Tribolium castaneum: one gene and its partner. The protein of the gene in region 1 binds, or shares a complex with, the protein of each later gene. Links are inferred from orthologs where the notes say so. Each region holds a gene or a part of one and is shown in the gene's direction. Other genes may lie near its edges.

Evidence for each region.
Region 2: eIF3m (region 1) and CSN4 share a complex: the UniProt entries of both Caenorhabditis elegans proteins name them as parts of the CSN complex. The link is inferred for Tribolium castaneum from reciprocal best matches to the Caenorhabditis elegans genes cif-1 and csn-4.

The regions. Positions count from the first base shown.
Region 1 is NC_087400.1:749,200-759,308, reverse strand, and holds eIF3m (eukaryotic translation initiation factor 3 subunit M), read left to right. Parts: upstream 1-3,584; 5' UTR 3,585-3,714; coding exon 3,715-3,759; intron 3,760-3,816; coding exon 3,817-3,996; intron 3,997-4,041; coding exon 4,042-4,971; 3' UTR 4,972-5,014; downstream 5,015-10,109. Other genes in the region: transmembrane protein 80, read left to right, coding at 1-70, 118-311; Sec15 (exocyst complex component 6), read left to right, coding at 487-578, 623-788, 834-1,018, 1,063-1,164, 1,215-1,317, 1,440-1,512, 1,564-1,745, 1,792-1,959 and 6 more; CysRS (cysteine--tRNA ligase, cytoplasmic), read left to right, coding at 5,347-5,712, 5,763-5,842, 5,898-6,114, 8,178-8,861, 8,913-9,060. UniProt on the Caenorhabditis elegans protein: Component of the eukaryotic translation initiation factor 3 (eIF-3) complex, which is involved in protein synthesis of a specialized repertoire of mRNAs and, together with other initiation factors, stimulates binding of mRNA and methionyl-tRNAi to the 40S ribosome.
Region 2 is NC_087399.1:5,885,404-5,896,243, forward strand, and holds CSN4 (COP9 signalosome complex subunit 4), read left to right. Parts: upstream 1-3,733; 5' UTR 3,734-3,751; coding exon 3,752-3,834; intron 3,835-3,886; exon of another isoform or gene 3,887-4,063; coding exon of another isoform or gene 4,064-4,549; intron 4,550-5,291; coding exon of another isoform or gene 5,292-5,454; intron 5,455-5,501; coding exon of another isoform or gene 5,502-5,775; intron 5,776-5,827; coding exon of another isoform or gene 5,828-5,867; exon of another isoform or gene 5,868-5,982; intron 5,983-6,107; exon of another isoform or gene 6,108-6,247; coding exon of another isoform or gene 6,248-6,330; intron 6,331-6,376; coding exon 6,377-6,456; intron 6,457-6,505; coding exon 6,506-7,209; intron 7,210-8,617; coding exon 8,618-8,846; intron 8,847-8,896; coding exon 8,897-9,033; 3' UTR 9,034-9,126; downstream 9,127-10,840. Other genes in the region: flr (actin-interacting protein 1), read left to right, coding at 1-199, 438-722, 777-1,247, 1,883-2,116, 2,258-2,408, 2,457-2,566; longitudinals lacking protein, isoforms H/M/V, read right to left, coding at 2,815-3,101, 3,148-3,247, 3,325-3,498, 3,554-3,733; sds22 (protein phosphatase 1 regulatory subunit 7), read right to left, coding at 4,064-4,549, 5,292-5,454, 5,502-5,775, 5,828-5,867; voltage-dependent anion-selective channel, read right to left, coding at 9,336-9,427, 9,482-9,699, 10,410-10,840. UniProt on the Caenorhabditis elegans protein: Component of the COP9 signalosome complex (CSN), a complex involved in various cellular and developmental processes.

The DNA.
Region 1 (10,109 bases):
CTGATGGCTGTTTGCGTGATTGAGCTGTTTCGGGTGATTTTGGCAAGGAAGGGCAACCTGACCGAGAGAAGTGAGTGGTTTTTTGGGCCAACATTATCTGGACTTGATTTTTTACAGAATGGCCAGTTCTGGTCGCAATTTTCCTGACGATCCCTTCACTAGCTGGAGTTTTGTATTTTATGATTTGGCAAAGCCATGCTTTGAGATTTGAGTACATTATTTGCGGCATACAAGTCGGCCTACAATTCGTCGAGATTGTGACTGGAATCTTGTGTCTTCTACCGTTCTGCAAAACCCCGGAGTATTATTAGATAATTTTTTGTACGATAATAAAGAAATAAAATAAATGGATCAATAATTTGAAATGTAGGGATATTCGAGTCGGTGTGGTGGCAGTGTCAAAGTGTCAATTGTCACGTCACGTAACCTCACAATTTTAATTACGATTTTTTTATTTAAAAATCAAAAAAACACAATAAATCCACCATGGGTGACCCCCAAAGTGGGGAAAACTCGCAATACGACTTGTATCTGCAAGAAATCGAAGGAGTTGACGATTACTGGGGCCCAACTTTTAGGTGGGCGTAAAATTTTAAGTTCGGTCTTTCACTTCCAGTTTCAGGGCAATTTATGATAACGACCAGAACGTAAAGTTCCGCGAGAAGTTAGACCAACGCATCCAACACCACAACAAAGACATTGAACGCCTTTGCAATGTGTACTATCAGGGATTTATTGAAGCAATCAGAGAGTTGTTAGAAGTGCGAAACCACGCCAAAAAACTAAACGTAAAACTTGCCACAATCCTAGCACAAAATTCACACCAATTGTAGGGCCAGGTCACCACCCTCGACACCCAACTGCACCAAGCAGCAAAAAACATCTCAAAATCGGGCAATGAGCTGCTACAAGCGCGCAAAGTCCAGAGCAACATTGCCGTCGTAATCGCCCAACTTAATCTCTGTTTGCCGGTTTTGACCTCTTATTCCAAATTAAAAAAACAAATCGCGGAAAAACGGTAACAAAAATCAAAAACTAGGCAAACTTGTAACAATTTTGTAGTTATTACCCCGCCTTGAAAACTTTAGAGGAGCTGGAACACTCACACCTGCTCCACGTGGCCAATTATCGCTTTTCTTACCAGTTAAGGGAGAGCATACCGAAGTGAGTCAAAAAAAAACGGTTACAGTGTCCTGCAATACCGACTTTTGCAGGATTAGGGAAAGCATCGAAAAGGCCTCAATGTCCGACTTGAAGGACTTTCTGGAAAATATTCGCAAATTTTCCCCGAAAATTGGAGAAGTGGCCATGAAACACGTCAGTTTAACTCGATTATTAGCCTCCTTGATGGATACGTAACTTTTAATGATTAAACATTGCCCATCAAGGAGGCTATGATTCTGTCATTCGTTTACTTATTGAAAGTGATGAAATTGTAGACTAGTGAACAGTTGGCCAGTGACCCCACAGTCATCGGACGCAAGAAAAAAAGAATAGCGCCACAACCGTCAGGTCACTTGATTTAATTCCGTATTTAATTTTTTGTTAAATATTGTAATTTAGGTGACGGCGTTGGTCACTTCTCTGAGGAGGATTTAAGTGCCCAAGAATTGATCGATTTTTCGCCGATTTATCGCAGTTTGCATATTTCAACAGTGCTTAATACGAGGGCCACTTTCGAGACGTACTATAGGGCCGAAAGGACGAAACAGGCCCGCTTGGTTTTACAGCCGCCCACTAATATGGTAAGTCGGCTGTGACTTGTATCGTGATCGTCTTTTGTTCCCGCAGCACGAGTGTGAAGAGAGCTACCGTGCCTACATTCACGCCGTCCTCGGTTTCTTTATTTTGGAGGATCACGTGTTAAACACCGGGAACGGGCTCATAACCCGCGCCTTCTTGGACGAAATGTGGACGATGGCGTTGTCAAAAATCGTCAGTGCTTTGCAAACACATTCGGTATAATTACCCGAAAAATTTGTTTACTCAATCGGTTATGAAAAAAATTTCAGGCGTATTGTACCGACGCCACCTTGATCCTGCGCATTAAAGACTTGATCATGCTTTTTTGCACGACTTTGCGTAATTATGGTTATTCGGTGAAACCGTTGTGGGAGTTGGTGCGTGAATTACGTGACCATTATACCGAAGTTTTGATGCAGAGATGGGTGCAAGTCTTTCGGGAAATTCTCTCGAAGGAGGATTTTCAGCCGATTCAAGTGTACGATCTCGAGGAGTATGAGCATATTTTGTCGTCGTTTCCATGGGACGAGGACTTGCCCAACGATGTGGTTTTCCCGCACAAGTTCCCCTTTTCGGGGATGGTGCCCAAGGTCTACCAACAAGTCAAGGAGTTTATTTACGCGTGTTTGAAATTCTCCGAGGATTTGAATTTAAGGTTTGGTTGTTGAATAATTCCAATCGAAGTGGGCTGTGACTGAATTGTAGTCAAGTGGAAGTCGACGAAATGATCCGCAAGTCGATGAATTTGCTCCTGACGCGGACGTTTAGCGGTTGTTTGTCGTCAACGTTTCGTAGCCCGCACATCAATCTTCAGGAAATTATCCAAATAATCATCGATACGGGCTATTTGGAGGAAGCCACGGTCTACTTGGACCAGTTTATTTCAAATATTACAGGGTAGGGCACAAAATTAATCCGCCAATAAAAACAAAACATTTAGGGAGGAGTCTCGAGGGGTGTCCACGGGAGTGGTCCAAGGCCAACCAGCCATGTTCCGCGTGGCTCGTGAAGACGCCGTGCGCCAAATTTGCGAAAAATTGCGCCAAAAATTGAACGAGTTTTACGAATTGGAGAGTTATGATTGGCTGTTGGGTGAGCCGTCAGGACACGCCTCTAGTTACATCTCCGATTTGATTGCTTTCCTCCAGACGACGTTTCAGAGTTTCACCAATTTACCGGTTTGTTGATTGGTTTTGTTGATTTTTTATCGAGTGATTTGTAGCCGGAGGTGGCGCAAGTTGCGTGTAAGTCGGCGTGTGAACACATTGCCAATTCGATGTTTCAACTGTTGATGAATGACGAGATCAAGCAAATTTCCATGGGGGCCTTAAACCAAATCAATTTAGATTTACTACAGTGTGAACGTAATTAATCGAAAAATGATAACCGGAAATTTAAACAAGTTTTACAGAATTTGCGGCCTCTGAGCCCGTCAAAGGCCTACAAGAGGACGTCCTCTTGTCGTATTTTACCAAACTACGGGAGACTTTAGACCTGTTCACGTCATGGGACTGGCCCACTTATTTCCACGACTATGGGCAAGAAACCAGCAAATATAAGCAAGTCAATCCAGATGATGCGATAGTATTGCTCGAAAAGTAACAAATCGGGTTATTAAACCACAAGTTAATTGATTCTTGTAGATTGAAAGAAGGCGATAAGAAAACTATGTTCACAGTATTGAAAAAGAACGAAAGAGACAAGAAGAAGTTACTGGAAACGGTCCTAAAACAACTGAGACAGCTGACCCAAATAACGCCCAACAAATAACCGACTTGTTGAATTAAATAATAAATTTTATTAATTATTCGGTGTTTTAATTTTTGTGGCCAACTTGGCCACCAAATTTAAAAAAGTAACAACTTGGCGTTTGCGCATGCGCATTGCCAACATAACCATCAAATTTGCGGTGTGGTTTTTCCCCTTAAAACAGTTAAAAATTGCAAAAAACCGTGAACTAACTGTAGAAAAATGCAAGTGCCCCCTGTCTTTATCGACGTGAGTCCCGAGGACCAGGTAGGCGCCCATTTGTGGCATTTTGTGTCCATATGACACTTTGAGGTTATGTTTTAGGCGCAAGAGCTCCGCATTTACTTAAAAAGTTTAGGCGCTGAAATTTCGGAGGAAAAATCAGTCAAGGGCATCGAAGACGACCTACACAAAATAATCGGCGTATGCGAGGCCTGTTTCAAGGAGGGCCAGGAGCCCGAAGTTGAGATGGTGCTCAACGACATTGTCTCAATCATGGTGCTTGTAAGTGTCTCGAATCATTTGCGCGTGGTATTGGACGTGTTTTAGATCCCGGCCGACCGGTCCGAGAACATCATCCTGGCCTTTTGCCAGAAGCTGCTCAAGGCTCAGGGCCCCAAACTGGGGCTGGTGTGCCTGCGCGCCTTGTGGCTGCTGTTCCAGTCGCTTGACGAGACGTCCCCCATGCGCTACCACGTCTACTACCACTTGATTTTAATTGCGGAGAAAACGGACCAGGTCAAGTCGGTGTTCCAGGATATCGAGCATTTGAAGCAACAGTTCGCCCCGTGTCCACCGACAAGCGAGCAGTTGCAGATTCTGTACCGGTTGTTGCACCAGGTGCTGCTAAAGAGCAACCACAGTGAGCAGGCTGCCAAGGTCATGATCGAACTTTTGGGGACCTACACCGATAAGAACGCCTCGCATGCCCGCGAGGACGCGATCAAGTGCATCGTCTCGGCCCTGGGGGACCCCAACACCTTCCTCCTCGACCCCTTACTGGCCCTAAAGCCGGTCAAATTTCTCGAAGGGGAGCTAATCCACGACTTGCTTAATATCTTTGTCAGCGAAAATTTGGCAACGTATTTGAAATTCTACCAAGAACACAAGGAGTTTGTCACGTCGCAGGGGTTGAACCACGAGAAGAACATGCAAAAGATGCGGTTGTTGTCCTTCATGCAACTCGCTGAGACCAACCCGGAGATCAGTTTTGACGTGATTGAGAGAGAGTTGCAGATCAAGGCTGAGGAGGTCGAGGCGTTTATTATCGAAGTCTTGAAGACTAAACTGGTGAGGGCCCGCATGGACCAAGCCGCTCGGAAAGTCTACGTCTCAAGCACCATGCATAGGACTTTTGGGCGCGCCCAGTGGCAACAATTGAGGGATTTGCTCCACTCGTGGAAAAGCAACCTCAGCATGGTCCAGGAAGGGATGAAGAACGTCACAGCGGCACAGCTCGAAATGTTGAACCAACAATAATTGTTTTGTAGCGATTAATTTAAGAATAAAAATTTTGGAACTAGTTGGGGATTTTTATTTTAATACCACGTCAAGTAACTAACTAAATTTGCTGCTTAAACTACGAAAATTACATTATTGCGCCCCATAATTTAATGTGGGGGTTTCACCCGCCACGTGTCGCACGTTCCTTGCCCCCAATCGGGGTCAAGAGCCGCCGGTGCCGTTTCATGTTGGCAGCACTGTGTGGTGTTGTGGCCGCTGATTCCGATTTTGTGGGAATTCCGTGCCTTCTTCTGATGCAATCACAGTTTAATTTCCGCTAGATAACACCGAAGAGTGCGTTTTGGTGTTGGTGTGTTAAATAATTGCAAATTTGGTGGTTGGAGTTAGGTTATGTCGAAACGTGTGCAGCCCCCGTGGTCGGCGCCGGAGGCGTCTGGCGGTCCGGTCCTGAAAGTGTTCAATAGTCTGACGCGTCAGAAGGAGGTGTTTAGGCCGATTTCGGGCAAAAAAGTGACTTGGTACAGTTGCGGGCCGACTGTTTACGACGCCTCGCACATGGGGCACGCCAGATCGTACATAACTTTTGATATTTTGAGGCGCGTCCTTGCCGATTATTTCGGTTATGATATTTTTTTCGTGATGAATATTACGGATATTGACGATAAAATCATAAAAAGGGCGCGTCAGAACTACTTGTTTGAGAGGTATGTTGGGGAGGAGAGGTCGTTACAGGAGGTTTTAAGTGACGCAAAGTTGGTATGGTTGTTTGTATTTTGTGGTGGTCACATTGTAACGGGGGTTTACAGGTTTTGGAGAAATTGGCTGAGACCACACAAAATGCCTTTGATCCCGATAAGAAACAAATGTATGAGAAACTTCTAGTCAAGTAAGCTATTTTGGCATTTTTTGTATATAGATGATTAAATTAATTTTTCAACTAGTCTCACTAAATCGGTTGAAGAATTGGAAAATGCGGTCAAAAGTGGTGATAATACGAAAATTGAAAACGCAAAGAAAAATTACATAGTGCGGAGTAAAGACCCACTGTCTGATTGGCTGGATTGTAAATTTGGGGCCACAATTACAGACAATGCGATTTTTACGTCATTACCACAGCACTGGGAACAAGAATTTCACAAAGACATGGAGGCTCTAAATGTACGTATTTTCGCAGCAAAAGTTGTACAAGTGCTACTTTTTGTCCGAATACAGGACAAGGTTTAGAGAAGAACGAGTGAGAAAATAATTTTGGTCAAAACCGCATCTCGCTATCGTCTTTTGTTTTCGACTTAAACAAAAGTTGACGTTTTAGCGAAATCTTAAAAATATCATATTTTCTTTATTATTAAACATTTACATTTGAAACAAAGACTTTATAAAGGCATTTTTTACAGAGAATCTAATGTTATTAGCGATTTTTTTCAAAAATTCGTTTAATTGTAATAACATGAAGTTATATTTTTTTAAATAGGAATCATAGTTGGCTGTGACAATTTCGAAAAGATTATTTTTTTCTGATTTGATATGTCTATTTGTGTAATACATAATTTAAAATATTTAAGAAAAAACAAAACATTTCGCTTTTTCTTTATATAGTAGGCCATGAAAAAATTTTGGATTTTTAATTAAAACTATGAAAATTGTATTATCCAACATGTATTTATAATTTAATGATTTTTTAAACGCTAATTAATTCAAAAACAGCATAATAAATTTTTATGAGATCAAATTTTTGCAATTAATAAAAATTATTTGTTTTTATATTTAAAATGGCAAGCTTACGTTGTCATTCTATTTTCCAATTTTAAACAAGAAATGTCGGAAGAAGAAAAATCTTATTAATTGTATGATTGCGTATCAATAAAATTTTATTTTCCAAAAAAATGTCAATCCAAACACCAAAATCAAATTCCATCTGCGGTAAAAAAATACACAACATTATCAACGTCACCTCCATTGCACTTAATCATAAAAAAGTGGCATCAAGTGGTAGTGAGACATAGTTTGCAATTGTCTGCACATTTTTATGTAATTAAAATCTGCGACGTTCATATATTTGTTCAATTGAAAATAACTTTAACTTATTTTTATAATTTCACATTTTTTACTTTAATAACCGTTCACAAAATTTCTAGATTATTCACACCTTTTATGTGAAATAATTTTTCCATGGCCAACTACTTTCAAATATTTTAAATATATTTTTTATCGAAAACATATAAAAATATCAAACTATATTTATATTGTTTTGAGTTCAGAAAAAAATAAGCTTTCCGAAAATGTTATAGCCAACTATGATTCTCATTTAAAAAAATACAACTTTATGTTATTACAGCTAAACGAATGATTAAAAAAAATCGCTGATAACATTATTAAATTCTCTGTAAAAAAGTACTTTGATTCAAATTTGTATCTTTTATAATAAGGAAGATATGAATTTTTTAAGATTTCACCAAAATGTTAACTTTTGTTTATAAGTCGAAAACAAAAGACGATTGCAGGATGCGGTTTTGACCAAAATTATTTTCTCAAAAAACGGACCCGAGAATGTGTCACTCGTTTTTCTCTAAACCTCTTAATTTCGAAGATCCCGTATTCGGACATCACCCTGTACAATAAAATAGCATAGCATTAGCACAATCGTTCAAATCTCAATATTCATTATGAGAAACAGAAACGTATTTGTCTTGAACTATTTATTACAAAAAAAAATAAAAAAAAATAAATAAACAAATAAATAAAACACAACACTTTTTAATGAAGTTATAAAAATTCGGGTGTTTTGTAATTTTCTAAAAAAAAATGTCATGTTAACGTAAAACTTAATAAATGTCTGGCTTTGCAGTGCGTTCGCAATTTGTAATAAAGGCAAATAATTTTAAAATAAAAATCTTACAAGGCCGTTATTTGACTCGACATAAGACATAATCAGTGTTGTCACAGATTACGTAGTTAATTTACAACAATGGCTAAAAATCAAATAAAATAAAATATTATCAGTTTTTTTCCTATTCTTCTGTTACACTGAATTAATTAATTTCCAACTCTGCAAACAGACTGACCCCAGTTATGTCTATTGGTAATCCATTTAAAACTATTTTGTGGTAATTTGCAACACTATAACAGGTTTTTTTTTTATAAAAATATTGTAACGAAAAACCCCACAAAATTTTTCTTTTTTTTTTGGAAATATATAAAAAACCAACTCCTTCGTTGTCCAGATCCTCAAACCGCACGTCCTGACCCGCGTCAGCGAGTACATCCCCGAAATAATCGGCTACATCTCCCGAATCATCTCGAACGGCTTCGGCTACGAAGCCAACGGTTCGGTGTACTTCGACGTCGCCGCCTTCGACAAGCAACCGAACCACTACTACGCCAAGCTGGTGCCGGAGGCCTACGGCGACACCAACAGCCTCCAGGAGGGCGAAGGCGACCTCACCACGGCCGACCAACGCAACGAGAAGCATTCCCCCAACGACTTCGCGCTGTGGAAACGCAGCAAGCCGGGCGAGCCCGCCTGGGATTCCCCCTGGGGCAAGGGCCGCCCCGGCTGGCACATCGAGTGCTCGGCCATGGCCTCGACCATCTTCGGCGACACGCTCGATATACACACCGGAGGCGTTGACTTGAAATTCCCGCATCATGATAACGAAATTGCGCAGAGTGAGGCACACTTTGGGGCCTCCGAATGGGTCAAGTATTTCCTGCATTCGGGGCATTTGACGATTGCCGGGTGCAAGATGTCGAAAAGTTTGAAGAATTTTGTTAGTATACAAGACGCGCTAGCGAAATATACGGCGAGACAGTTGAGGTTTGCCTTCTTGTTGCATGCCTGGAGGGACACGCTTGATTATAGTCAGAATACTATGGAGGTAGCGCTGCAATACGAAAAAAATTTCAATGTTGGTAGCATTTAGTCAAGTTGGGTTGGTACTAGTGTTTACACGTTTTAGGAATTTTTCTTGAATGTTAAAGACTTGACGAGGAATTTTTTGAAAAAACCGACTCTTGTGGGGCATTATGTTAAGTGGGAACGGCAGGAAATGGAACTAAATGGGCACTTTTTGCAGGCGAAGGATAATGTTCATGCTGCTTTGTGTGGTAGGTCAAAAAATACTCTATGTGATCAAAAATCATGTTATTTTAACTTTTTAATTACTTTTATTTTGAGATTTTGTTAAAACTTTTGCGAAAACACAATATAATGGTTAGATCGCCTATGTGTGACAATTGTCACAAAAAATGTACGTCTCAATTGACATTACAAAACAATGACAGGTGACAGCTGTCAGTGTCAGGTCAAAAATTCACACGTTTAAATGAGTTTGCAGAGTAAATTCTTGACAAGTAGCAGGATTTTCATTGTGATTTTTATCGAAAACTAATAAATGCAAAAATAAGACAACATTTAAACAGTTGACAGCAAACCATATGAACTTATCATGCCAGAAAACCACAGCAAACCACGACCAGAACAATTAAATCATATCTTCCTTATTATAAAAGATACACATTTGAAACAAAGACATTATAAAGGCATTTTTTACAGAGAATTTGATAATGTTATCAGTGATTTTTTTCAGCCATTCGTTTAACTGTAATAATATAAAGTTGAATTTTTTTTAAATAGGAATCATGGTTGGCTATGACATTTTCGAAAAGTTAATTTTTTTTTGATTTGATATGTCTATTTGTATTATACATTAATTTTTAATATTTGAGAAAAAAAACAAAAAAATTCGCTTTTTCTTTATAGTAGGCGATGAAAACATTTTGGATTTTTAATCAAAACTATGAAAATTGTATTACCCAACAAGTATTTATAATTTAATTTTTTACAGAGAATCTAATAATGTTAGCGATTTTTTTCAAAAATTCGTTTAATTGTAATAACATAAAGTTGTATTTTTTTAAATAGGAATCATAGTTGGCTATGACCTTTTCGAAAAGATTATTTTTTTCTGATTTGATGTGTCTATTTGTGTAATATATTAATTTTAAATATTAAAAAACAAAATATTTCGCTTTTTCTTTTTAGTAGGCCATGAAAATTTTTTGGTTTTTTAATTAAAAGTATGAAAATTGTATTACCCAACAAGTATTTATAATTTAATGATTTTTTAAACGCTAATTAATTCAAAAACAGCATA
Region 2 (10,840 bases), on another chromosome or scaffold:
TGGCGAAGGCCGCGAACGCTTCGGTCATGTTTTCATGTCCGAAACGGGAACTTCCGTTGGCGAAATCTCAGGCCAATCAAAACCCATCAATTCCTGCGATTTCAAACCCACGAGACCTTTCAGAATCATCACGGGGTCTGAAGACAACACCATTGCGGTTTTCGAGGGGCCCCCGTTTAAGTTCAAAATGACCAAGCAGGTAAGGAGGCCACGACTCGTGTCGCCAACCCACAAAATTAAATACACTAGCTTTGAACTGACAAACCAACACCACTTTTAACGCAATTTCACATTTTTTTGACCCAATTTACCTTTTTTTTTATTGCGTGATAATCGAAATGTCCTTGACGAAAACTAATTTGGGGGGAAATACCTGTTCATAAAGTAACCATAGGTGGCTATGATTTTGGTCAACGTCACGTGATTGTTTTTTACAGGAGCACAGCAGGTTTGTGCAAGCCGTTCGTTATTCACCCACCGGTAATTTATTTGCCTCGGCTGGGTTCGATGGTAAGGTGTTTCTGTACGATGGTACGTCCTCCGATTTGGTGGGGGAAGTGGGAAGCCCCGCCCACAGCGGGGGCGTGTATGGGGTTAGTTGGAGTCCCGACGGTAAACAATTGCTAACAGCCAGTGGGGACAAAACTGCGAAATTGTGGGACGTGGAAACGAGACAAGTCGTCTCTGAATTCGTCCTAGGTTCGACAGTTGAAGATCAACAAGTGGGTTAAGCCACGCCCACTAACGTCCTCTTTTAAGTATATAATATTTTATAGGTTTCGTGTTTATGGCAAAACGAATACTTGCTCACGGTTTCTTTGAGTGGTTTTATTAATTATTTGGATATTAATGACCCAACGAAGCCGCTCCGGGTTGTTAAAGGGCACAATAAACCCATCACTGTCTTAGAATTGAGCGAAGATCGTGGTACGATCTTTACCGGGTCGCATGATGGTAATGTGACTCGATGGAACGCCGAAACTGGGGAGAACGATCGGGTTGAGGGCGTGGGTCATGGTAACCAGATCAATGGGATGAGGGTACATGGTGGTACTTTGTACACTTGTGGTATTGATGACTCTTTAAAACAAATCGACATTGAGGGCAACACGTACAAAGGGCAAGATTTGAAGTTGGGGTCGCAACCTCGCGGAATGGACATTTTAAAAGAGCAAAATGTGGTGGTCACAGCGAGTGTTAACGAAATCACCGTCTCGCAAGATAACAGGAAAGCAAGCACTTTGAAGGTTTGAAACAGTCAATTTCGAGCAGTGGTCTATGGCTTTAAAATTAAGTTGGCAAACTTGACTATCAAATGTCCCCAACACCAACAATTCAATATTTCCAACTTCATTTCAGTCAGAGATCAATGAGAAATTCAGTAAAGTGACAAGTTTCATAATTAGTTAAACAGCGAACTGTCATTTATACAAATAATAACTGTTAAAATTTTCAGTTTATCAAATTTACAATAGGATGTCTCACCTAAGACTTTCAAGCCCGATATTTCAGTTATTTGTCAACGGATTCTTATGAAATTTAAAAATCAGATATTTTAGAAGGTAAAGATTAGATATAATCCAACTCAATTCTTAAAAACGTCATTTTTACAAGCCTTCTTAAAATGTTAAATCATTTAAACTTGTACTAAAAAATATTTTTTTTGTGTGGCCACCTATTTTTCAAGATTTAATCATCTGATAATAGAAATTGGGCTTAATTTTAAATAAAAGAATTTTTTAACTTAATTTTTTAGCTCCTAATTGAAAAGCTCGAAAGTGTTAGGTGAGCCACCCTGTATGAAAGTTTTGACGAGTCGCTCTTTGCTGATTTTCTTTTTTTGAAAGCATTTGTTTTATCTTATTGACGAAAACAATTGAAGGTGTCTTATGAACCGTCAAGTGTCAGCGTTTCGCCGCGGGGTCACGTGGCTGTGGGTGGTGCCATGGACAACAAGGTGCATTTATACGAACTGAAAGGCACAGAGTTGGTACCCTTGCAAGAATTGGACCATTTGGGTGCCGTAACAGACGTTGCCTACTCTCCCGATGACAAGTATCTAGTGGCCTGTGATGCCCACAGAAAAGTCGTACTGTATAGTGTTCCTGAATACAAGGTAAGTTTTTGTGCGTCTGTAGTTACCATTGATGAAATTAATTGTTGCACGCATTCGGAACAGAATGTAAGTAATAACCAAATTTTAATTGTTTGCTTTTTACACATTTTTCGCGTTTTTGATTACAATAATCGTTATTAGCTCGCCACCAATCAAGAATGGGGTTTCCACAACGCGCGTGTTAACAGCGTTGCTTGGTCGCCCGACTCTTTGCTAGTCGCTAGTGGTAGTTTGGACACGAGTATCATTATCTGGTCTGTTGAAAAGCCCGCCAAACATATTATAATCAAAAGTGAGTAGTTTGTGTTAAGTAAGGGCGGAAAATAAGGGTTGTTTTCAGACGCTCATGCTCAAAGTCAAGTCACTAGATTAGCCTGGCTTGACGACCAGACTTTGGTCTCAGTGGGGCAGGATTGCAACACGAAATTGTGGACCATCACCAAGTTCTAATAATTTTTTTAAATGGCCTTTTTGCATTTAACGTAAAGCTTTTTTATTTATTACATACAGTAGGGTGATGCAGTGGCGGGCCTAACCGACGTGTCAATTAATTTATTTCAAGTATTGATTTTCTAATAGTGTAAATATTTAAATCGAGGAGTGTTATGATGAATGAAAAATCTGCTAAATCATCCAAATACTATAATCTAAAAAGTATTATTTTTGTTTATATTGAATAAATAGCTGTCTGATAAAGTTCAAGTTATTTTTTTGCGCTTCCTGGTGTGGTACTCCTCTGGGTGTCGGTACGAGACGTGTTTTCTCAAAGCGTCCCGACTTCGTGACACGTGGGGGCAAGACTGGCAGGCATGGTAAGCCTCTTCGTGGGTCTCCATGTGCACGCGCAAATTGTACTGATTACTGAGGTATTTGCCACAAAGGAAGCACTTGCAAGTTTCAGACAAGTCTTTCGCATGTTTTTTACTCGGAAGCGAGTAACTGTCGTCTTCTTCGTCGTTGTTTTTCAGGAAAGTTTCCGCAAAATCTGTAAGAAAATTAAGAGGGGACACCAACAAGCCGTTCGAGCTTACGTTCGGTTGCTTTTTCCGAACTTTCGGTTTTGTGCGCATTGTCGGTTGAGTTTGGTCTTTTTTCGCTTGAAATGTCGTTTAGTTGGGGTTTTTCAGGTACCTAACAAAATCTAGGTTTACGTTTGGTTACATAACGGGCCACGGTGCCAATAAGTAATTAGGGCTTTGGGGACTAACCTTCATATCACATAGTCCTTGTATTTTGAGGAGCTTGGCCAGGGAGAGCAGCCCTGGCAGCTGCTCCTTGGAGACCACGCACTGCCCCCTGTATATGAACGCCAGGACGGCCTTAATGTCGCTCAGGGCGACGTTATGCAGCACAATGACCGGATGCTGCGTGTCCCTCATTTCCTACAAGTGGGCGTAATGTCGTTTAAAAATAGACGGTGATTTCGCGAAAACTCACCTGGAACAGCTGGAAAAAGTACACACTGCACATTGCTAACACCAGTTTGTGCGCCTTAACGGTGTGGGATTCGACCGAGATGGTGACATCGGTGAGAACGTCGTTTTCGAGGAACGTGGTGAGGTTTTTGAGGAGGGTGAGCTCTTGGTAGTGCCATCGCAGGACGAACTGCTCGCTCATTGTGACGCGTCAGCTTGGATGGGAAAAATCGCAGGAACTGGCCCACAAACCCAGAATTTATCCAGCTTGGCTATTTTTAAAACTACTGGAGAACAAAACAGGTGCCAGCAAATTTGCTAACCTTTCAATTTCAAACGGAAATAACACGACGGGTTTATTGTTATTTGGTTTATTTTTACGTAGCAGGGGCTTATCAAAATTAAAACCGATTTTCACAATTGGGTGATTGGTTTATAATTAGACGCCTAAAATTAATCGTTACTCATTAGCTAATCAACTCATAAATGCACAGATGGCAACGGTGGTTTCCTTAATTTACAAAACAATATTTTACAACTGACACAAAGTCGCGTCGATCTGGGTTAGAGAGGGCGCGATCATCTTCAATTTCCTCCTGTACATCGGGTCCTTCTCGAGCGGATTCCGCTCCAAGTAAACTGTAGCCAGCTTTTTGTTCTTCGATAAATTCTCGACAGTTCCCCAATCGGAAACTTCATTATCATTCATCCAAAACTCCTCCAAGTCGTTCAAATGCTCGATGTTTTCAATCAACTTTATTTTATTTTTCGCCAAATCCAAGGTCTGTAGCAACGTGTTATGCGTAAGATTTTCTATTTTATGAATTCCGTTCTCGGAAATGTACAGTTCGGTCAATTGTGTGAGCTTATCCAAATTCTCGATACGCGTTATTCGGTTGCTTTGCAGGCTCAGACACGTCACGTTGGTCAGACTGTCCAAGTTTTTTATTTTTGATATTTTATTTTTGCCCAAGTAGAGGTGGGTCAGGGCTGGCATGTTTTCCAGGTTCTCTATGTCCTGCAATTAGGACGGTTTTAGAAGTCACAGATTATGACTAACAACTGAAAACACTCAAAGGATAAACTACGAAGATCTAAAGGTTAGAATATGAAACGACGTACAAATAAAACGTTCTCGTCCTCGATAGCTCCGTTAATGTCGCCAGAGGGCGCATTTCAAAACATGGTTGTATTTTTATTACTGTTCACACATAGCAAACAAAAAAAAACAGGCAGATATAGCATTAAATTCTCAATATTCAGAGATAAACACAGTGCAAAAATTTTATCGTAAACTTTTACCAATTTTGCACTCTGTCAGATATTTTTCAAAACGCTGCGAATACGGTTACAGATACAAGAAAAATGTTAGGAAGAAAATTGTAGAGAATTAAATTTCCTACAAAAAAGTCCGCGAGACCATGTTCCTATCTTGAACCATTTAGGCCCCAAAGTCGTTCAAAGACGCTCAAGCAACGGATTTCCTTAATTTTGCCGGTGGTCAAGTATTGGAAAGTTAATTCGTACCTAAACTATTAAAGATAGAAATATGGTGTCGCGGACTTTTTTGTAGAAAATTTTATTCTCTACAACTTTGTTCCTTACACTTTTTTTGTATCTTCAACTGTATTCGCAGAGCTCGCAGAAATATAAGGTGGAACGCAAATTGATAATTCTAAGCGATAACATTTATCAAAACGCTGGGAATACGGCGCAGTTTCGTCTCCTAAGTTATTATCCTCCATAGGATAAACACTTACCCTAATTTTGTTGTCCCCCAGCTCCAGCATTGTCAGCTTCTGCAAGTGCTTCACATTTTTGATTTTGCTGATTTTGTTCGACGACAGGAAGAGTTTTTCTAAATTGTGCAAATTCTCCAGTCCCTCAATCTCCTTGATACGATTAAACGACAAATCTAGAATCCTTTTAAAGCCATATTTCGCAACATTCACAAATGAGTCACTCCTTACTCTAAATTAACCAAACATCCCAGATTTTCCATTTTGACGATTTGGTTATCGTACAATTCCAATTCGCGGAGCGTGACTAACGTGTCCAAATTCTCAATTTTGGTGATCAAATTCCACCTCAGGAAGAGGCGCTCGATTTGTGTCAAGGGCTCAAGGTTTTCGAGCTTGCTGATCCTGCCATGGTTTAGGTCCAGCTCAAGGGTGTCCGGGTCTATTACCATTATTTCGTTGACAGTGGCCCCTTTTTCCTTATTGTCGTTCGAAGTGGACGTCTCTGGGGCTAACAATGAGCATGGACTTTCGACGAAAGTAACGAATTCTCTTACCGGGCTCGGGGGAACTCTCGTTTTGTTGCGGAGAAGGCATTTTTCGCACTCACACTGGACTATTTCTGTTTATTGCAATTTAATTAAGTGACTAATTTAAAGGCGGGTGACAGCAAACATCCGTGACGTTTGAGTTTGACTTCAACACGTGCAGCCAACCTATTAAATCAAATCGTCTTCCCCTTAACCCCTTATTCACACGTTAATTAAAGTAAACTGTACTTGCAATTGGTCGCAAGTATTTATTTACAGAGCAAAGACAACAATTTACTTGCAAGTGTGTTTTTTAGACAAAATTACCACAACCGGCAATAGCGTTGTGTTGGCAATTGCTGTTTTGTCAGTCATTTGTCAAAAACTACTTTTAGTTAAATTAAAATAATTTATTATTATTTGTGGCCAAAATAGTAGCGGAGCACCATGTCGGAGAAAAGCGCGGCTATCCGCACCCAACTCTCCAACATAATCGCGTCCGGGGGCTCCCACAAAGACCAGGCCGAAAAGTGAGGTTATGTAAAAAAAATTAAAAAAAACATTAATTTTTAACAGATATCGCGGTATTCTTGAGAACATCCTCGCCGGTTCGGGCCCCGAGCTGACCGAAGGCTTGCAGATATTCATCGAAGCAAGTCCGTACCCCCCACAGCCACCAACCCAGTCTAACTCAAGTCGTTTCAGTTGTCAATGAGAACGTTAGTTTGGTCATCTCGCGCCAAATCCTGACCGAAATAAGCTCGCATTTGATGAAACTACCCGACGATGTTTCCAAAACTGTCTCACACTTTATGCTTGAGAAGGTGCAACCCCGGGTTATTTCGTTTGAGGAGCAGGTGGCAAGTATTCGCCAACATTTGGCCGATATCTACGAACGTAACCACATGTGGCGCGAGGCTGCAGCTGTCCTGGTGGGAATCCCGCTCGAAACCGGCCAGAAACAATACACCGTGGATTACAAACTTGAAACGTATTTGAAAATCGCGAGGTTGTATCTTGAGGATGACGATCCGGTCCAGGCTGAGGCTTTCATCAACCGGGCGTCGCTGCTTCAGGCCGAGTCACGGAATGAGCAGCTTCAAATTTATTACAAAGTTTGTTATGCTCGAGTTTTGGATTATCGGCGGAAGTTTATTGAGGCGGCTCAGAGATACAATGAATTGTCCTATAGGACGATTGTTCATGAAGATGAACGCATGACAGCCCTTCGGAATGCTTTAGTTTGCACTGTTTTGGCTTCAGCGGGGCAACAAAGATCGCGCATGTTGGCCACACTGTTCAAGGACGAGAGGTGCCAACAGTTGCCAGCAGTGGCGATTTTGGAAAAAATGTACCTCGAAAGAATCATCAGGAGGTCCGAATTGAGGGATTTTGAGGCCTTGTTGCAGGTACGTGTATAAAAAGTGTTGTATTGTTAGTTGCATAACTATGATAAATTTGTATTTTTTTGAGTCCTTTGTACAATTAAATACTGAAAAATTATTGACATAAAAGTATCATCTTGAATTAAATTGATTGAAACAAGTTTTAAAGAAAATCTGCAAAAGCAATAAAAATACTAATACCATTTGTTAATTTGATAATCAGTATTATTAATTATTATTAATATTATAAATAAAATTATTATTATTAATTATCACCCTTACAAACGTATAATCATAAAATGAAGATGAATGTATTCAAATACCAACACAAGTAATATCTCTCTTAAGGGACACCTCCGATAAGCGGACCCCTCTGACAAACGGGCCTTTTTTTAGATAATGTATTTTAAGCGGACGCTCCAATAAACGGACGCGCACAATGCAATTCAAATCCTTGGAAACAAAATATCTCCTTTAAGCGGACAGCACATCATACGCGCGTGTGATTAATAGTTATTATGACAATTGATCAAAAAAATCGGGGAATCACATAAGTAGGTAGTACATGTTTTATGGAAGTGTAACGTTTGTGAAAAGCGAAGCCTTTTATTTTAGTTTGTTTTTATATATAAATTGCTATTTCTTTTCCATTAAGCGGACAAAAAGCATGTCGGTGTCCGCTTATGGGAGGTTTCACTGTAACCCTAACTTTTTTCTCAGATGATTTATTCCCGATGTCATTTTAGGAACATTTTTTTGTCTCATTAAAGTATTATGGTGAAATAAGATTGCTGGTTTAGCACGTTTTAGGTTTCTGTTTAATCAGAGCCGGATTACGGTTACACTTTGTGTAATGCATGTGCTTTAAATAGTTCACACAGGGAAAAATGAAATGTGTGTTAAGTTATCTACTGATATTTCCTCCTTGTAAATGCCGATGAACTCCACTGTGAGTTTAATTTAAGCAAAGCTGCGTTAAATTTAACCTTTGTCTACTTTTGACTTAGGTTTAGTACCAATAAAAACGATTTAATTAAAGTTCTTAATTGATTTCATATTTATTTAATTGATTTTTTATTTACAAAAAATGAATTTCATAATACTGTTGACGTCGATATTTGTCTACGTCGAAATAATGCGCGCCGAGACGGATTCCAGAAATCTAATAATAAACTGATCATCTATATAACATCTCACGAGGTTATTTACGTGTGAGAATAAAAAAGTAATGTGATGCAACGGAGCAACTAATTGAGGATAATACTCTTTATTGTTTAATATCGTCACACTTTGTAAACACAGTGATGCATGAGTTGTTTGCCGTAATTGCAGGTCTTATCACTTGCTTAATTAACGGGAATTAACTAACGCTTTATTATCACAATGTTGCAAAGGTTAAGCGACCTCTTATAAAACTGTCGATTCATTGTAGCCCCACCAAAAGGCGAGCACCATTGATGGGTCAACAATTCTGGACCGCGCCGTTATCGAACACAATCTCCTGTCTGCTAGTAAACTTTATAATAATATTAGTTTCGAAGAGTTGGGAGCTTTGCTCGAAATACACCCTTCCAAGGCTGAAAAAATCGCAAGTCAGATGATAACCGAAGGGCGAATGAACGGTTACATTGACCAAATCGATTCAATCGTCCACTTTGAAAGTACTAAAGCTGGTGTTGTTTACGATGTGTATTTGATCGCTTTGTTCCAGCTCGTGAAACTTTGCCCCAGTGGGACAAACAAATCCAGTCTCTCTGCTACCAGGTGAATTCAATCATTGAATCAATCGCAAAAAGCGAGCCCGAATGGATCAGTAAGGTGATGGAGGAGCAGATGGATCTTAAGTGAAACGTGTCTTTTGTAAATTACATTTTATTTGTTTTACAATACTTGTCATAATCATAAAACAATTGAATTAAAAGCTTGCACAAGTAAAAAACACGTGTGGGAAGTAGCAATTTTTTGAGAAGTATCCGGAAACGGTAACAAAAGGACGACTTCACTAAAACTACTACAAACTGAAAATACAAGACGTATTCATGTATATGTTTTAATACTAAAAAGTCCCATAGAACAATTAAAATATCTACAATACAGCAGGCTGAAACGTGTCTTGGTTCTAATACAATTTGGAACTGACGAATCTCTGATTAAGCCTCTAACTCAACGGCCAGACCGATCTTGTGGCCGCCGTTATTGAAGTTCTTGCCGTCAATGAGGGCCGACAAAGTTAGAGTCACACCTGCCAACCAAACAAAGCCAATCAACCCCCGACCAACCTCCCCCAACTACCCACCTTCACGCAAACGCTGCTGATACCCCAAACCGATCTGACTGGAATTGTTGACCTTGGCGCGAATCGCGGCGTCTTGATCCAAGTCGTATTTAGCCCCTATTCCGAACTTGGTGTTGTTGCTGCCAGCAGACCACGCCAACTGGATGCCGGTCTCCAACTTTGGGGACAACTTCTGATAAATGGACCCTCCGAACTCCTGGCCGTCATCGCTGTGATCACTAAACGTTACAAAAGGGGATTTAAACGGGGATCAGGGAGATAAAGGGCCCCTCGGGATCTGGCGGGGTTTGGGACAGTCAGGTTGGTATCACCTACAGTGGCACACCCGGGGGGGTTACATGATTTAAATTTTAAACTTGTTTATATATACATTAAAAAAAAACAAACATGCGTCGCGTAAGTAGGTGTGTATAAAAATAAAACGTCAGTAAACTTTTTTCTGGATAAAACGGTAAAAGAAACAAAAAAATCTTTAAAGTTGTTCTATTCTTTAAAATTATTACGAAAAGACGCAGAATCCCATTTTGAATTCTTTTAAAACCGTCCAAAATCATTTACACGAAATTTTGGTACTCTGATTAGTTTCAAGGCAAATACATCGAACCAATGTAACCTTTGATTCGCCAGAAATGTATTATTAAATTTCAATTTTCAACCCTCTTTTAGATTCAGCAATTTCAAACTTAGAAGAAAGATTTACAAAAATATTACAGAATTTTTAAATTCGGAAAAAATTGAACACTACAGGACAAAATAGATTAAATGGTTTAATTTCTTTATAAATCCACCGCGGTATTGAAGTAATTTGTGATGAAGTTTTACATATTTTGAGTCCACGAAGAAGATGTTTTTAAATTTTTATACAAATTTGTGAATATTAATGTTTGGCCCCCTCAAAAAACTTGTGAGTGCGCCACTGATCACTTACACATTAGTGTGGAGAATGAAGTCTCCAGTGGAGAAACCTAGGGCGAAGTTGTTTTTGGTGAGTTTGGACTTTTGGGTGTCGAAAGCCGTTTGGTAACCCGCCAGCCAGCCTTGGTGCCCCACGACGGCAGCCGCCTGGATCAAGGGCCCACTGGAGTCCAAATCAACGTCGCAGTTGAGGGCCACCCTATCGTTGGTAAACGCGGTTTTGACGCGAGCTGACTTGCTCCCAGTCTGTGGCGAAAAGGTCAGATCTGAGGACAACTTCAAGCCTTTGAGGAGCTGATCCTGGATCGCAACTTCCGTAGCCAGAGTATTATCCGTGTTCCACTTTTCGGAGAACGTCAAACCGTACTCTTTAACCTTATATTTGGTCTCCAACGACCCGAAAACCTTCCCCGACTCCTGGTTAGACACACCCCCAGTGTTGAA